2 linked regions of the Lonchura striata genome follow. The protein of the gene in region 1 purifies or fractionates together with the protein of each later gene. This does not show direct contact. Links are inferred from orthologs where the notes say so. Each region holds a gene or a part of one and is shown in the gene's direction. Other genes may lie near its edges.

Region 1 (7,810 bases):
GGTTTGCTCCTTGCCAGCTCAGTGAACCTCTTAAATAAAGTTCAATGCTTGTACAATTGTGTTATGGGTTTTTAAGACAGTTTATTATTACTTCAAGTGTCAGTGGCGAAAAAAATTCCCCCCAGTTTCTGCATTTAATAAGTGGAACTCCAGCTCAGCGCTGCGTCCCGGTTCCAGCTGAACCCCACATTCTCCAAAGTCGTGCAGCACCACACGGCACAGCTTGGGGAGACCCCTGAATAGAGCTACTTCTGAAATGTTGAGATTAAACCATTCTGTCCTCACAGCTGCTTTTCCCTTCCCTGCCCATCAGCAGGACCATCCCTCTTGGGCTCTGTGCTGAAGGTGAGTTGCTCCATGTTCGTCCTCTGCCTTTTCTTTTTCTAGCATTCCACGTTTTCTCTTTTTTCCCTCTTTCCACGTGAGTGATTACTCTGCTTCACCCTTGTGTGGCCACCCCTGGAGTATTGTGTTCAGTCCTGGGCTCCACAGCTCAGGAAAGACAAGGGGCTACTGCAGAGGGTCCAGGAGACCACCAGGATGATGAGGGCTCTGGAGCACCTCTCCCAGCAGGAGCTGCGGAGCCGTGGGCTCACAGCTGCCCCTGCAGCCGGGCTGTGCAGCACCGAGGGTGACAAACCAGCTCGGGTTTGTTTTGGAAATGCAGCTCAGACATCCCTGTGCTTAGTGCGGAGCCCGCTGCCGTTGCCATGGCAATGGCACACAGACAACGCTGACAGACCTCGAGCAGCTGCTTCCCTCAGCACCCAGCGAGACTGGGAATCCAACCGGCTCTCACATTCCAGGTCTGCAGCAGAAATCCAGCAAAGCCTCTTCCCACCGCACCGCGGCCAGCCCGCATGTGAGCCAGCACGCCCAGGTAGCCCCAGCAGCACACCCACTCCTGGCTCCGAGGCTCCAAATCCCTTTGGATCCATGTGGCAATGCACTTCACACGAGGAGCTGACATTCGGCTGCCAGAGCCGAGGGATGAGCTCAGGCAGTGTCAGAAATGCAGGCACCTCCACCCCGCAGCCAGAGAAACAGCTCCAGTTACTCCAGCCAGTCCTAGCTGCCTGGTTTTGGAGGTTTTCAGCAAACAGACTCTGCCAAAGCTTTCCCGAAGTCACATGGATCCCACAAAAACAAAGAATCGCTGGTGAACCCATTTTAATTTCAAAATGAGGAAAACCAAACTGATGGGCAGGATCTTGCCAAAAGGTCAAACCCAGTTCTGGATGAAACAAACCCCTGTATTTTTCAGCATTTTAATAGCCATGAAGAGCTAAAGATACTTTGAGGTGTCAAGAAACAAACAGATGCGAGATAATAGTTTGTGGATTTTATTAAATGTTATCATTTTACATGTTCATATATGCAAACCCAGCAACAGTGGGAAATCCAAAGCCTGCAGGACAGAAGAGCTGGTGAGTGAGTGTTCTGCAGTAGTATATACAAGAAGTACAAAATGTTTTCTTCTCTATAAATCTATTTACTGCCCGTTTACAGTTTGCACACTGGATTGAACAATGCTCATTCATGTGGTGGTTTTGGAGGTCCTGAGCTCTCAGCAGCACCCATTTCCCATTTCCTGTACACACACAAACTCTCTATCTGAAAACTTTCTCCTTTATCCCTATTAAGGAGAATTTCCACATGCCATAAATCTGTCAGCTGCAATCACTGCTCCCGGAGATACAGAGTGCTTTCAGCAACCTGGCAGCCAAGTAGGGAAATTCCAGCTGAAGTAACCTGGGACCCTTCCTTGAGGCTGACCAAAATACTTGATAGGAACAAATCTTGCCGCAATGAACTAGAAAATGTGAGATTAGGCACTTTATAAGGAGGAGCAGTGGCCTGCTGTTCCAGCTGGCTCCAGCACTCAGGAGACCCGATTTCTGTAGTTTAAATAAAACAGGAAAACAAACCCACAAAACCAGCCAGGGCCATCTCTCCCTATTTATGAGAGTGCAGTGGAATTTTCAAGCCAGCCAGAAACACAGTAGTGATATTTATGCCTGAACACTTTTATGCCAATATAGAAACCCTAATACTCCCAATTCCTCAACCTATGAAACCTGTGTAGCCACACTGGGATTACTGGGATGGATAATCTACAGTTCAGCTTCCCAAAGCCCGCTGGTGGCTGTGCATTTCCACCCCTGCAGGAATGTCTCATGCCACTCTCCAGTGCTGCACTGTGCCAGATCAAACACAAGGCTCGTTCCCGGGTGTTTCTGCGGGGACTGGGAGCAGATGAGTGCCTGTTGCTGTCAGCTGGAGTGTCTGCAGGGAGAACAGCAAGTCTGGAGCTGCTCCTGGACAGCCAGATTGGCTCCCAGACCCGGGGATGGAGCAGCAGCACAGCCTGGGAGCTGCTTCTCAACTCTGCTCACCTATCCAATGGAACTGATCCCCTTTGGAAAGGCAACAGGAACAGCAAACACGAAAAGGGCAACAGCAACATATAAACCCAAAGGAGACTCCTGGATTTGCTGAGAAGTGCCAGATGCTGAAGTTGAACTGAAACTGGAGCTGGAATAAACCCCACCCAGCCCTGAGTTGCAGATGCTACAAAAACCTGCTGGTTTATATGATGTATAAACACAGAGCTAAGGGCTCTGCAAGGCTCAGGGGACAGAGCAGGGAAGAAATCCTCAACCCTGAGGAACGGCCTTCGAGGAGCAGTGGGGATCCCACTGCAGGAATGGGCAGTGTTCTGACAAGTGCACATTTCCCTTTCGGTTTCTCTGTGCAGTGAAGCAAACGTGCTCCTCAAATGCCCCAGGAGCCCGGATCCCCGGGCCAGGGAAGCCCAGTGCTGCCAGCTCAGCCTTTTCCTTGGCCCAGACAAACACTGCGAGCTCCCCAGGCTCCGTGTGCCAGCACAGGGTTTTCACACTGCCCACTCGGGGCTGAGGCTGTGCTCCATGGGGAGCAGGGTACAGAGGGGACCTCTGAGCAGCACAGCAACACCATCAGCAAGATGGTTTTCCATATTCCCTTTCCTGCAAGTCTCCCTAATTCAGCACCAGGGAACTCGAGCACAAGGCGCTGTGAAAAAACAAATTTTGATATCCTGTTATCCAGAAAAGGGCAGTGCTCACTGCCATAAAGATCAGTTTGAATCCTGAGTCACACATTTAATCTCTTGTCAGAGTGTTTTTGGCCGTGCTGGTGCTCACACAAATACCTGCTTGCTTTGAACCTTGCTGGATCAGCTCCTCTGGCCGCTCGTTTCAGTTTAATTACATGGCTTGAGAGAGTATTTCCACCCACCGTTTCCCAAAACTCCCACTTTCTAAGTACCAGTGACTGTCCTTTTGGGGTAACAGTGTGAGACATCACACAGTTATCCTGTCATACAGGTTCCTCCTCAGGGACTGCCAAACCATCTTAATGAGGCTCCAACATGCCCAAACTAACCTTTTTCACAGCTGATCATTCACAAAATATCCACAAGAAATACTTGAATGCTCTAAAGGAATATGGTTCCCTGTTCTGAATGAGTTTCCACTACTTTCGTACTACCTCTTTCCTATGGTAAAATTAGCTTTGTAGTGTCTTCTGTTAAAGACAGAGTAGTAGAGTCCTGTGACAGAATTCTAAAACAAATCTTGGCTTCACAGCAGCAGATGTACTTCTCTTTAACAAGCCAATAAATATTTTAGGTGACTAGAGAGCTGGGACTTCTATAATCTGATCCAAGTTCAAAAGCTAAGCAGGGAGTCAACAGGTACCAGGAAACACAACACCCGTGTAGGTTTCTTTACTGCTAAATTAGAGGATGCCAGACACTCCTGTAAAACCTTCCATTCTGGGCAGTACCTTGAGATGTTATCCAGTCATAACACAGGTGAACCTGAGAACTGATTTCTGTTACAAAGACTGGTAAGTAAAAGTGATTACCAAGAGAAAAATTAAGATATCTAAATTCAGTAGCATTGAGACAAGAAAAGTAACGTCACCACATCCTCATACTGCAAGAGGTGGCCAAGCCGCTTCATTAAGCCCTTTAAATAGCAAATCACGCAGCATCCTCAGCATTTCCCACACGAAGAGGCTGCCTAGAAGACAAAAAAAAAAAAAAAAACAGAAAGCGGAAATAAAAACTTCACAACCGACTCCACAGGCGACTTAAAAACAGCAACCGAAACCGCAAGCCGGCAGTGCCCTACGCTTCGGGAATGGCACGGAGGGCGAGGCGGCAGGGCCGGGAGCCGGGCAGCGCCCGGGGGAGCGCGGGGAGCGGGCGGCCGGAGCCGCGGCGGGCGGGGCTGCGCTGCCCGTCCGTCCGATCGTCCGTCTGTCCGCCCGTCCGTCTGTCTGCCCGTCCGCCCGGCCGCGGCGGGTGCTGCCCGGCGCTGCCGCTGCCCGGGGAGCGCGGGCAGGGCCGGTTCTCGCCCGCCGCCGGGACTCGGGCAGGGCCGGTTCTCGCCCGCCCCCGGCCGCTCGCGCCCCGCGGTGCCCTCAGGGCTCCGCTCTCCCCTCACCTCCCGGAGCGGCGGCGCGGCCCAGCGCGGCCCGGCGCCGGGACAGCGGGGCGGCCGCGCCTCCTCCGCCGCTCCCGGCCGCCGGCCCCGCCGCCTGCCAGGCCCCGCTCCGCTCCCTCCTTCCCGGCCTGCCCCGGCCCGGCCCCCTCCCCCGGCCGGGCGCGCCTGCGCGGCGGCCCCGCTGCCATCCGGGTCCCTCGGTGCGGTGCAGCGGGTCGGTAGGCGGGAAATGGCGACTGAGCGCTGAGCGCCGAGCGCCCGGAGCGCGGACCCGCCGCCGCCGCCGCCCGCCCCCTCCGCCCGCCCGGCCGCCCGGCCGCCCGCAGCGCGGCCCCGCGGCGCCGCTCCCCGGCCCCCGCTCCCGCAGGTGAGTGACGCGGCGGAGCCGCGCGGGTCCCAGCCCGGGATCAGGTGGGGGCGCGGGGTGGCCGCTGCGAGTGACCGGCGGGATGTCCCCTCGGGGCCTGCCCGCCGCGGGCCCGCCGCCCGCGGGCACCGCGCGCCCGCCGCGCTCGCCCGCCGCGGCCGCTCGGAGCCCCGGGCGAGCCCCGGCCGCGGCCGTGGCGGGGCGGCCCTGCCGCGGGCAGCGGCGGAGCGGTGTCACCCCGCCTGGCACCCCCCGCGCCCCCCCGGGCCGAGGCCTGCGGCGGGTCCCGCCCGGCCCGTGCGCCCCGGGGCCGGGCCGGAGCCGCGGCGCTGCGGGCCGTGCCGCGCGGGTCCCGCGCAGGACGCGCCTGTTGCTGGCGCGGCTCGGCGCCGGACGCGCCTGTCAGCGGCCCGGGGGCGGCGGGGCGCCGGCTCCGCGCTGCCCGGGCACGGCTCCGCCGGCGGCTCCGCGGATGCCAGCGCGCCGGGGACGCCAACTTTGTGGCCGGCACCGGCACCGTGCAGGAGCCCCGCCGCCCGGGGCCGTTATTGGCATTCCCGGTCCCTGCTGGGAAGGCGGCGGAAGGAATTAGCGAGCCGCATACCACATTGATTATCTGCTCGCTCGGTGTTACTGGAGAGCACCGCACGAGCCTGTTGCTCAATTTTATGGTACTTAAGAGCGCTCGAGAGGACAGGTCTGGCTGTTTGTGTGAGGCTGTTCGGGTGAGCTCGAGCCTACGTCTGTCCAGGGCACTTCGTTCTCTGCGGTGACAGTTGTGATGCTGTTTCTGGTCCCAAGCCTGTTGTTTCTGGGAGGGATTTTCCATCGCCTTCCAGATGTTCATGGTGCGCTTCTAAAAGTAATTTCGAGTTTGTCGTTTTTGTCTTAGCCTTTGTTGACATGTTTCCACTGTTAAGAGTAGCCCGTGAGGAAGATCTCTAAGTGTAACTACTACTCTGTTGCCTTGGGCAAGCGACAACCTCTTTTGCCGTTTCTCCACGAGTAAAATGGGGATAATAATACCTTGGAGAGTTGTTACAAGAAGTAGTTAATGTTTGTAGAAGACTTAAAAGACCTAAGTGTTATTAATTAAGCCCCATGACACATTAAGGTAAGAGTTAGCGAGCCAGGTTTGCACATGGATGAACTGAGGCAGGAAGAGATTATGATTTAGCCAGAGTAACGTCCTGGATCTGTGACAATAGCAGAAAACAAGTTGTAACTACTTCATGCTGTAGGCACAAGGGAGCCGTTCTGGATAACAGATAGGATTCCAAGATACTTGCCCCTCCCTCGCCCCCCCTCCCAATTTCAGGCTTTTCTACTTTAGGAGGTTCTGCCCGTGTGACTTCCAGTTGACTGGATAGCTCCAAGGACACTTATGGCTTGCCCACTTAAAAGTGTTTCAGCAGTTTTCATAACAAGATATATGTTCTAGGATGCTAGCCAAATCCTGACTGAAATTCCATGAAACATTCTCCTCTTTTCCCCTGAAAACATCGTGTGGAACTCAGTTTTGATCCTGTTCCAGTCAGTGCAGTGTGCAGTAAAGCTGACATTCCTGTTCCATCAAAGTTCTTTATTAAAGAAAAATTCCCCTGTCAGTCTGCCCTGGAGATTGAACGGGACAGTTGGGCCGTTTCTCTACGGATGTAAACATTCCACATATGCTGGGGCCATACATGCATTTCATAATTGAAAGGTGATTTTCCATCCCCAGCCTAGCACCACCAGTGTTGGTGACTCCCTTCCAGGGTGGCAATTCCCCAGCACGAGGATGTGACACTGGCAGAGGCTCAGGAGCATTAAGCAGTTAAAAAACCAGACAAAGTTGTCAGGATTCAAAAGGAAACTGAGGCTTCACCATCCCAAGTTTTACCATACTGCATTGGCTTTTCTTTGATCTCGTGCAATGCCGTGAGGTTGACGCCAACAGAAATCGTGTTTGCAGGAGACTTTGGGAATCACATATGTTCTTTTGACAGATTTCTATGCACATATTTCCCTCCTGTGGAACAAACTTCCACAGGTGTAAGGAGAAGAACAACTTGGGGCACTTGCACATTTTTGTAAAAACCATTCTGAAAGTCAGGCTGAACTATTTTGGCAAGAACTTGCAAGAAAAGCTTGAGCAGGGGGATTGCACAAGAGAAACTCCAGAATTCCCTTCTTACCTCAGCCATTCTGGGAGTCTGTAAAACCATGATGCATGAAGTAGGGCTGGAATTTGACATAAATTTTAAATTCCTGTGTATTTCTAGACGTGTGTATGCTCTGAGAGGAGCTTGAGACTTCCTGCTCTTTGGGACAGTGCCTTGGGGCTCCAGAGCATCACTGTGATCATTTCAGGATCACAGCTGGATAAGTAATCCCAGAACCCTGAAAGTGCCTTTTCCAGGTTATGGGTGTGCAGCTGTGCCCTGTCCAAACCCTGCCCAGGTTCTGCCCCAGCCGTGTGCCTTCAGCCTGCTCTCCCTGGGGAAGCAGTTCTGATGGGTGGTGGGTTTTGGACTTTGGTAGAGTCGCTGCAGGACCACTGAGATGATCCCACATTTAAAGGCTGCCCCTCGCACACGCTCCCTCTGTGGCTGCATCCTTGTTCCCTAATTCCTGGGGAGTGTTCTTCTCCACAAGTGCCTTTCTCATTCCTCACTGTCAGTAGATCAGATGTGGTGATCCTTGCTCCTCAGAGCCCAGAAAGTAAAGGACCAAGTCTGCATGAAATCCCTTCATTTGCTGGCCCCTGAGTCGCTGTCACCATCTCCTGTGTATTTTAAAGAGCAGATTGGTTTTTGTCTGTTTTATGTGAAAAGTTCCTGGGGTTCTGCTCACAGCTCTGGGGTTCCCAGCACAGGAGGGACATGGACCTGTTGGAGGGAGTCCAGAGGAGACCACCAAGGTGATCAGGAGGATGGAGCAGCTCTGCTGTGGGGGAAGCCTGGCGGAA
Region 2 (6,960 bases), on another chromosome or scaffold:
GCTGGCACCACCCCCAGGGACCTGCCACCCCCCTGGGACAGCCAGAGGCACAAACTGCTGGGGCAGAGGGGAGAATGGGGCTGGGGGAGGAAGTTTTGGGTGCAGGAGGAAGTTTTGAGTCACGGGAGGGAGGTTTTGATGGCGATTTGAGTCAGGAAAAGCTCTGAACCGGGGATGGCTGAGCAGGAAGACCCCCAGGTGCGATCTCTGGGGGTCTCAGCGCTGCTGCCGGGGCACGGCTGGGGCATCCCCGTGTCCCCACGTCCCCGTAAGCCCATGGCCGCGCTGCCCACCTGGAGCACTCCTGCTTGTAGATGTCGATGATGTTCTCCACCAGCAGGTTCCTCTGCAGCCCGTAGACGCCGTGGCGGTCCAGCAGCACCTCGTGGCGGCACGAGGGGCACCGGAACCGGCCCCCCGAAATCAGACTGCCGCGGCTCTGCCAGTACGGGTTGGCAGCCTGGGAGGGGAAGATGAGCCCGGGGGGTCCATCAGTACCCCCACAACACCCCGGTGCCCCCCGGGCCGGGCGCGGGGGCCCCGCTCACCTGGAAGACGTCGTTGGCGCACTTGCGGCACAGGTTGTGCTGGCAGGGCAGGATGACCACGGGCTTGCTGAACATCTCCAGGCAGATGGGGCAGATGAGCTGCTTCTCCAGGCTCTCCATGGGGCTGCCATCCTGCAGGATACCGCCTTGGAAATCCATGGGCTCCTCAGGGCTCTGCTCCCGGCGCTCTCGCCGCCGGCGCCCCTCGCCCCGCTATTTATAAGCCGCCGCCTCGTCACGCGTTTGCCGGTCGCGGCTCGGTGTCGGGTGTCCCGGGACAGGGGACAGCAGCTGTCACACGGTGCTGAGCCACCGCAAGGGCCGGTAAACAAGATGGGCACAGGCTGTCCAGGAGGCGCTGCCCACCCGTGCCGCGGACGTGCCCGAGCGGGAGCCGCGGGGTAAACAAGCGGCTGCGCGTCCCGAGACCCCGGAGCAGCAAGCGCCAGCCCCGCGGTCATGAGGACATTGCGACGGTTCCAGAAATCCGCAGCAGGGCTGGCTCGTACAGTTTGTCCCTTTCCCCACCCAAAACAGGAGCAAATCTGGGGGGCAAACGCCTCCCCCCGTGCGCTGGAGGGACGCAGCCCCCATGGCTGGCACACGCAGCGGGGTGTGCCCTCCCCAGGCACGGGCTGGGGGGCTCCTCCGGGAGCCCAGACCCAGAGGGGGCTGCTCAGGCTGCCCTGGCACGGCCCTGGCACGGCCCTGGCACAGCCATGACCCAGCTGGCTCCGCTGCTGGGGTTCAAGCGCTGACCCAGAAACGGCTGGGGGGGCAGAGGGTGAGCACAGCCCTGGCTGGAAGCAGCCCCGGCCACGATCCCCGCCGGGCTGGCCAGGGGCCAGCGCTGGCCGCGGGGAGAGCTGCCAGCGCGGCTGGCACAGGGGTCACCACGGGGGGACGGGGTGGCAGCGGCGGTGCCCACAGCGACTGCGGGCAGGAGATGGTACCGGGGTGGGGGGGCACCTGGGTGCACAGGTACGGGGTACAGGGGGTACCTGCACAGGTATGGGGTGCAGGGGGCACCTGGGTGCACGGGTACGGGGTGTGGGGGGACACCTGGGTGCGCAGGTATGGGGTGCAGGTGTCTGTGAGCACACAGGTGAGCAGGGATGCACAGGTACATGGATAAGTGGATGCACAGGTACATGGATAAATGGATGCACAGGTACATGGATAAGTGGATGCACAGGTACATGGATAAATGGATGCACAGGTATATTAATAAATGGATGCCCAGGTACATGGATAAATGGATGCACAGGTACATGTATAAATGGATGACCAGGTACATGTATAAATGGATGACCAGGTACATGTATAAATGGATGCACAGGTACATGGATAAATGGGTGACCAGGTACATGTATAAATGGATGCACAGGTACATGGATAAATGGGTGACCAGGTACATGGATAAATGGATGCACAGGTACATGGATAAATGGGTGCACAGGTACATCGATAAATGGGTACCCAGGTACATGGATAAATGGATGCACAGGTACATGGATAAATGGGTACCCAGGTACATGGATAAATGGATGACCAGGTACATGTACAAATGGGTGACCAGGTACATGGATAAGTGGATGCACAGGTACATGGATAAATGGATGCACAGGTATATTAATAAATGGATGCACAGGTACATGGATAAATGGATGCACAGGTACATGGATAAATGGATGAAGAGGCACATGGATAAATGGATGCCCAGGTACATGTATAAATGGATGACCAGGTACATGAATAAATGGGTGCCCAGCTCCCTGGATGTGTCACACGCGGTGCACAGCACACGGTGCCGGGGGCACGGACCCCCTCCTCTCCCCACGCGGGTGTTTTGGGCTCCCTCCGCCCCGGCTCACGCGTGGAGCGGGTGGCCGCGCCGGGAGCCGCGGGGCACACGGGGCAGGATCGTTCCCGGGGCGGCGCTCGGGGCTGTGCCAGCGAGGCGCCGGCAGCACGGCGGGGCTGGTGGGCACCCGGGAGGGCAGCGCGGGGGTCGCACCCTATCCTGATGGCATTGGTTCATGAATCGCTGCTGGACTCGCTGAAGGGGACTCCCAGGAGCGGAGGGGCTGTAATGCCCTAAGCAGCTTTCCGAACCCACAAGAGGCTCGTTGGCCCCTAATTGGCTTGGGACAGCTTAGGCAGGAGCCGGGCACTAATCACCCCCGGGATCCTTCCCAATTAACCCCGGAGAGCCCACTGAGGGAGGAATCTCCCTCTGCCGGGGCTTCGCAGGGCTCTGAGCAGTCGGTGGCCCTGGCTTCTCCCAAAATGTCCCTGTGGTGGCTTTGCCACGGTGGGGGAGCCCTGCGCCCCCAGCCCCGGGGCATGGGGGGCACTTCCAGCCCTGCAGCCTGAGGGGGAAAGGGACCCACGGCACAGAACAGGGAACAGCGAGGGGCGACAGCTCTTGTGCCACTGTCACACCAAGCCAGGGCACGCCCAAGGGCCACAGGGGCGCTTTACTCATTTTTTTCTGGACGCCAAGCAATAAATTGTAGAGTCCCAGAATTGTTTGTTTTGGAAGGAGCTTAAGTCCCATCCAATGCTGAAACGCGGAGAAAGATTAAAACCCCACAATTATAATAAAGATTTGTGGGGAACGGTGTGTTTATTCACAGTGTTGTGGATGCATGTGGGGACTCATTGTTCTTTAATGGACATGTGCACCCCTGAGAACTCCTGATCTTTTTTTATTACTCTAACTTCTATATGCATAGAATCTTATAATAGGTTTATGTATATTTATTTTATTTATTTTGCGTTATACTTACAGTTAGTTACACTTGTATTTAGTTTTTGTCAGAAAGAATTCTTGGGTCACTCTGTTTTGTTTGTTTTAAGGTTTGAGGAGTTTTTCTTGTCTCTTATCTTTTTAGTGTGGAAATCTGTATTTTTTTTTTTTTTAGTTAAGGTAGTTTTGCTAGTGCTGTAGTTACTAGACTAAAAAACACATTTTACTTAAATCCAGATTTCTTTCTTGTTAAATTTTTACTTTATCTCATTGCCACCGCGGGGACACCTCCCACTGTCCCAGGCTGCTCTGGGCACGCTGTGCCAGGGCCTGTCCGCCTTCACAGCCAGGAATTCATTCCTAATTAACGAACAGAAATTTAAGTCATTCATTGATTGATTAATTAATTAATTAATCTCATTAAGCGCCCACGGCGCTCGCGTCATGGCCGGGGAGTGGGCGTGGCCGAGGAATGGGCGTGATATTATGTGGGCGTGGTCACTGTGGGGCGCGACCAATGAGCGGGCGTGGTATTGCATGGGCGTGGTCATGGCGGGGCGTGGCCAATGAGCGGGCGTGGTATTACATGGGCGTGGTCACGGCGAGGCGTGGCCAATGAGCGGGCGCGGTGCTGTGTGGGCGTGGCCGCGCGGGGGCGTGGCCGCGCTGAGGGCGGCGGGCGGAGCGCAGCCCTAAGATGGCGGCCGGGCGGCGGCGGCGGCGGCGCTGAGGTAACGCGGCTTCTCCCGGCCCGGTTCGGCCCTGCTCGCCTCGGCTCGGCTCGGCCCCACCGCCTCCCCTTTCCCTTTGTGGTGGTGCTTGTAGCGGGTGGGATCCGGCTGCAGGTCGGGCGGGGGGAGTGGGGCCATGCCCACAGCGGCGGGCCGGCAGCATCGCCCGCTCTGAGGCGGCGCTTTCCCTTCAGGGCCGCAGGTGCGGCCGCGCCGAGCAGGAGGGGTGTATATATATCACCTGCGGTACCTTTATGTTTGTGTTATTCTCTAATCGAGTGTTTATATTATTCGTTATTCGCTGCCTGGGCCCGGTGTCCGCCCGGCCGCCCCCGGGGCAGCCGCGTTCCCCCGGGGCTGTTTGGCCACTGGGAAATTGAGATTAAATTAAAGCTCCTGCCCTTGTTGGCCCATTGCATCTCAGTCCCAGCCCTAATGTGGAGCTGCACCCCTGTTCTCACACACGGCACAGCTTGGTTCAAATCCTTGCTGCAAATGTCCCTCGCACAGCTTTGCTGAAAGGTTAAAATATCTCTGTAGCATTACCTGAGACTGATGATACCTTTTTTCTCTCTCTTTTTCTTTTTTTTCCTTTTTTTTCTAAAAAAAAAAATTACCTAAAGCAGTGGAAATACTTGAAATCTTCCTACTAATAACATGTGGTCCTTATTGCCTGACATAAAGAGAATTACCTTTATCACTGGCTGTCTTAGAGCTATTGTAGTTCTGCTCTATCAGTGTGATTTTATTTATTTATTTACTTTTGGTTTTGCGTTTCATTCTGTTTGACCAGTGATCCTTGGCTAGTCAAGCTCTTATTTTTTTATTTTAATTTATTGCTGTCTCTAGTCAGTGTCCCATTTTGGTTTGGTTGCATGAAGGTGGTGCTGGTGTTTGGTTTGTAATCTTGTAGGGCAGCGTGTAGGGAGGGTCATAAATCTGCAGCAGGGTTTGGTGGCTTTTTTTTTTTTTTTCCCCTTCTTTTTTTTTGTGTGTGTGTGTGTCTCTCTTGTTTTACTTTCAGAGCAATAACTTAACTTTTGTCCTTGCTCTGTTGAGCAAAAGTGAAAGCTAGACGTTGGGTGCAAACTCCTGCAATCAGTTATCCTTTTTAACCTTCCATAGATGTAGATTCCTCGTGCTGGGGAGGCTTGGCGAAAAATCAGTCACCTCAAAAAGATAAACGGGGAGCGACTGAAGCTTCCTCTCCTTGAGTCAAACAACTGGATGATAACAGAAACGTTTGCTCCCGCAGCCGCCTCCACACAAAAGCAGTTTGCTAAAAGCCATTGCTGCCCACCAGGGCCTCCAGCTGGGACCTCCTTGCTCTCCGGGCTGCTTGGGGAGCATGCCAGCCTCCTGCTGTTCCTGCAGCAGCTCTCGGAAGACGCTGAGGGAGAGGAGCAGGAGCGCTGGCCCTGCCTCGGCACCCTGCCGGGCTAGCTTTGAATTGTTGCCCCCCTGAACACGCCGGGCCGCGTGGGAAACCCTAACCAAAAATGTAATTTCGCTTCCGCCTGGTCCGTGGCAGCAGGTGCAGGTTTATGGAGGAGCTTCTGGAATGTTCTAGCGCTGAAACCCCCGTGAACGGCGGGGTCTGGGCAGGCCAGCCCCTAGGGAGGGGAAACGCAGCGCGCTGCCTGTGCCTGAGTTTTAGTTGTGTGGGTTTCTCCCCCTTCCCCAGAACCTTTGCTCCTGAAGATGGTGAGTAGCCAGCCTAAGTACGATCTAATTCGGGAGGTTGGTCGTGGCAGTTATGGTGTGGTGTACGAAGCGGTCGTCAGGAGGACCTGTGCCCGCGTGGCCGTCAAAAAGATCCGGTGCCACGCTCCCGAGAACGTGGAACTGGCTCTGCGCGAGTTCTGGGCCCTTAGCAGTATCAAGAGCCAGCACCCCAACGTCATTCACCTGGAGGAGTGCATCTTGCAGAAAGATGGCATGGTGCAGAAGATGTCCCATGGCTCCAGCTCCTCCCTGTATTTACAGGTACACGAGGCCGAGGGGACGGGGTGGAAGGAATCGGTGACGCTGAGCTGGGGGGAAGGAGGTGGGGCAGCCCAGGGCTTGGAGCTGTGCTCAGCTAGGCCAGGGCATTATTGCATCGCTGACGCCCAGAATTTAATAGAGGTCTTTAAAAAAAAAACCAGGACAATCGCCTGGATCTTGAGTTTGAAGCTGCGCTGCTCTGAAAGACTCCAGGATTTGTATTTAATGCAGAGCTGCTCTGATAATTTGAGGAAGCCCATGGGGAGGTGCAGGCTGTGGAGTTCTTGGCAGTTGCAGGTTAAAGAACACTCCTGTCCTGGGACAGAGCTTGGAGGAATTCCATCCCGAGTGTCCTTGGAAGAGGAAATCAGTGTCTTCATTTATAGGAAGCCAGCACTTAAAATTCTTTCAGATTGGTAGCACATAATGAGCTGGTTTTATTTTTTAATAAATAACTATTAATCTCTTCAAAGAGTACAAATTAGGGAATACATATCACTGTGAAAGCGTCCTTTAAGTTTGAAGATGTGTATGTTTGAAGAATGAGTAGCTCTGGAAAGACAATGAAAGACAATGTAATTAATTCCCTTGTCAAGAAGCAGCCCTAAGTATAGACCAGCCCCGGGCAGAAATGAGTGTTTCTGGTTTAAAAAGCCAGCAGGCTGCTCGGTGTTTGCTGTGTTGTCCCTAGTCAGCTGTTTTATTTCAGTTTTCACTGCCACCCTGCTGCTGGCACCCTTTGGGGTGAGCAGCCCTGCAGATGCTGGCTGAGAACAGATCCTTGGCTTTGCCAGCTCCCCGTGCCTTGGGAGCTGTTCCTGACTTGTTCTCAGGGAAGGATTTGGCCAAAATAACACTGGCCAGCTCATGGGGCAGAAGTCAGAGCTTTACCTTCCTGGTGTTAGTGGAGCTGCTTCCAGCTGAAGGGCAGATGTGCAGGGAG

The links.
Region 2: the proteins of CTDSPL2 (region 1) and PDIK1L purify together in Homo sapiens (affinity purification with mass spectrometry; 4 studies listed by BioGRID and IntAct, counting the BioPlex papers as one, with this or other methods). This does not show direct contact. The link is inferred for Lonchura striata from reciprocal best matches to the Homo sapiens genes CTDSPL2 and PDIK1L.

What each region holds. Positions count from the first base shown.
Region 1 is NC_134613.1:24,082,417-24,090,226, reverse strand, and holds the start of CTDSPL2 (CTD small phosphatase-like protein 2), read left to right. Parts: upstream 1-4,803; 5' UTR 4,804-4,860; intron 4,861-7,810. UniProt on the Homo sapiens protein: Probable phosphatase.
Region 2 is NC_134628.1:395,201-402,160, reverse strand, and holds the start of PDIK1L (serine/threonine-protein kinase PDIK1L), read left to right. Parts: upstream 1-3,943; 5' UTR 3,944-4,031; intron 4,032-4,654; 5' UTR 4,655-5,732; coding exon 5,733-6,017; intron 6,018-6,960. Other genes in the region: E3 ubiquitin-protein ligase TRIM63, read right to left, coding at 294-460, 549-707.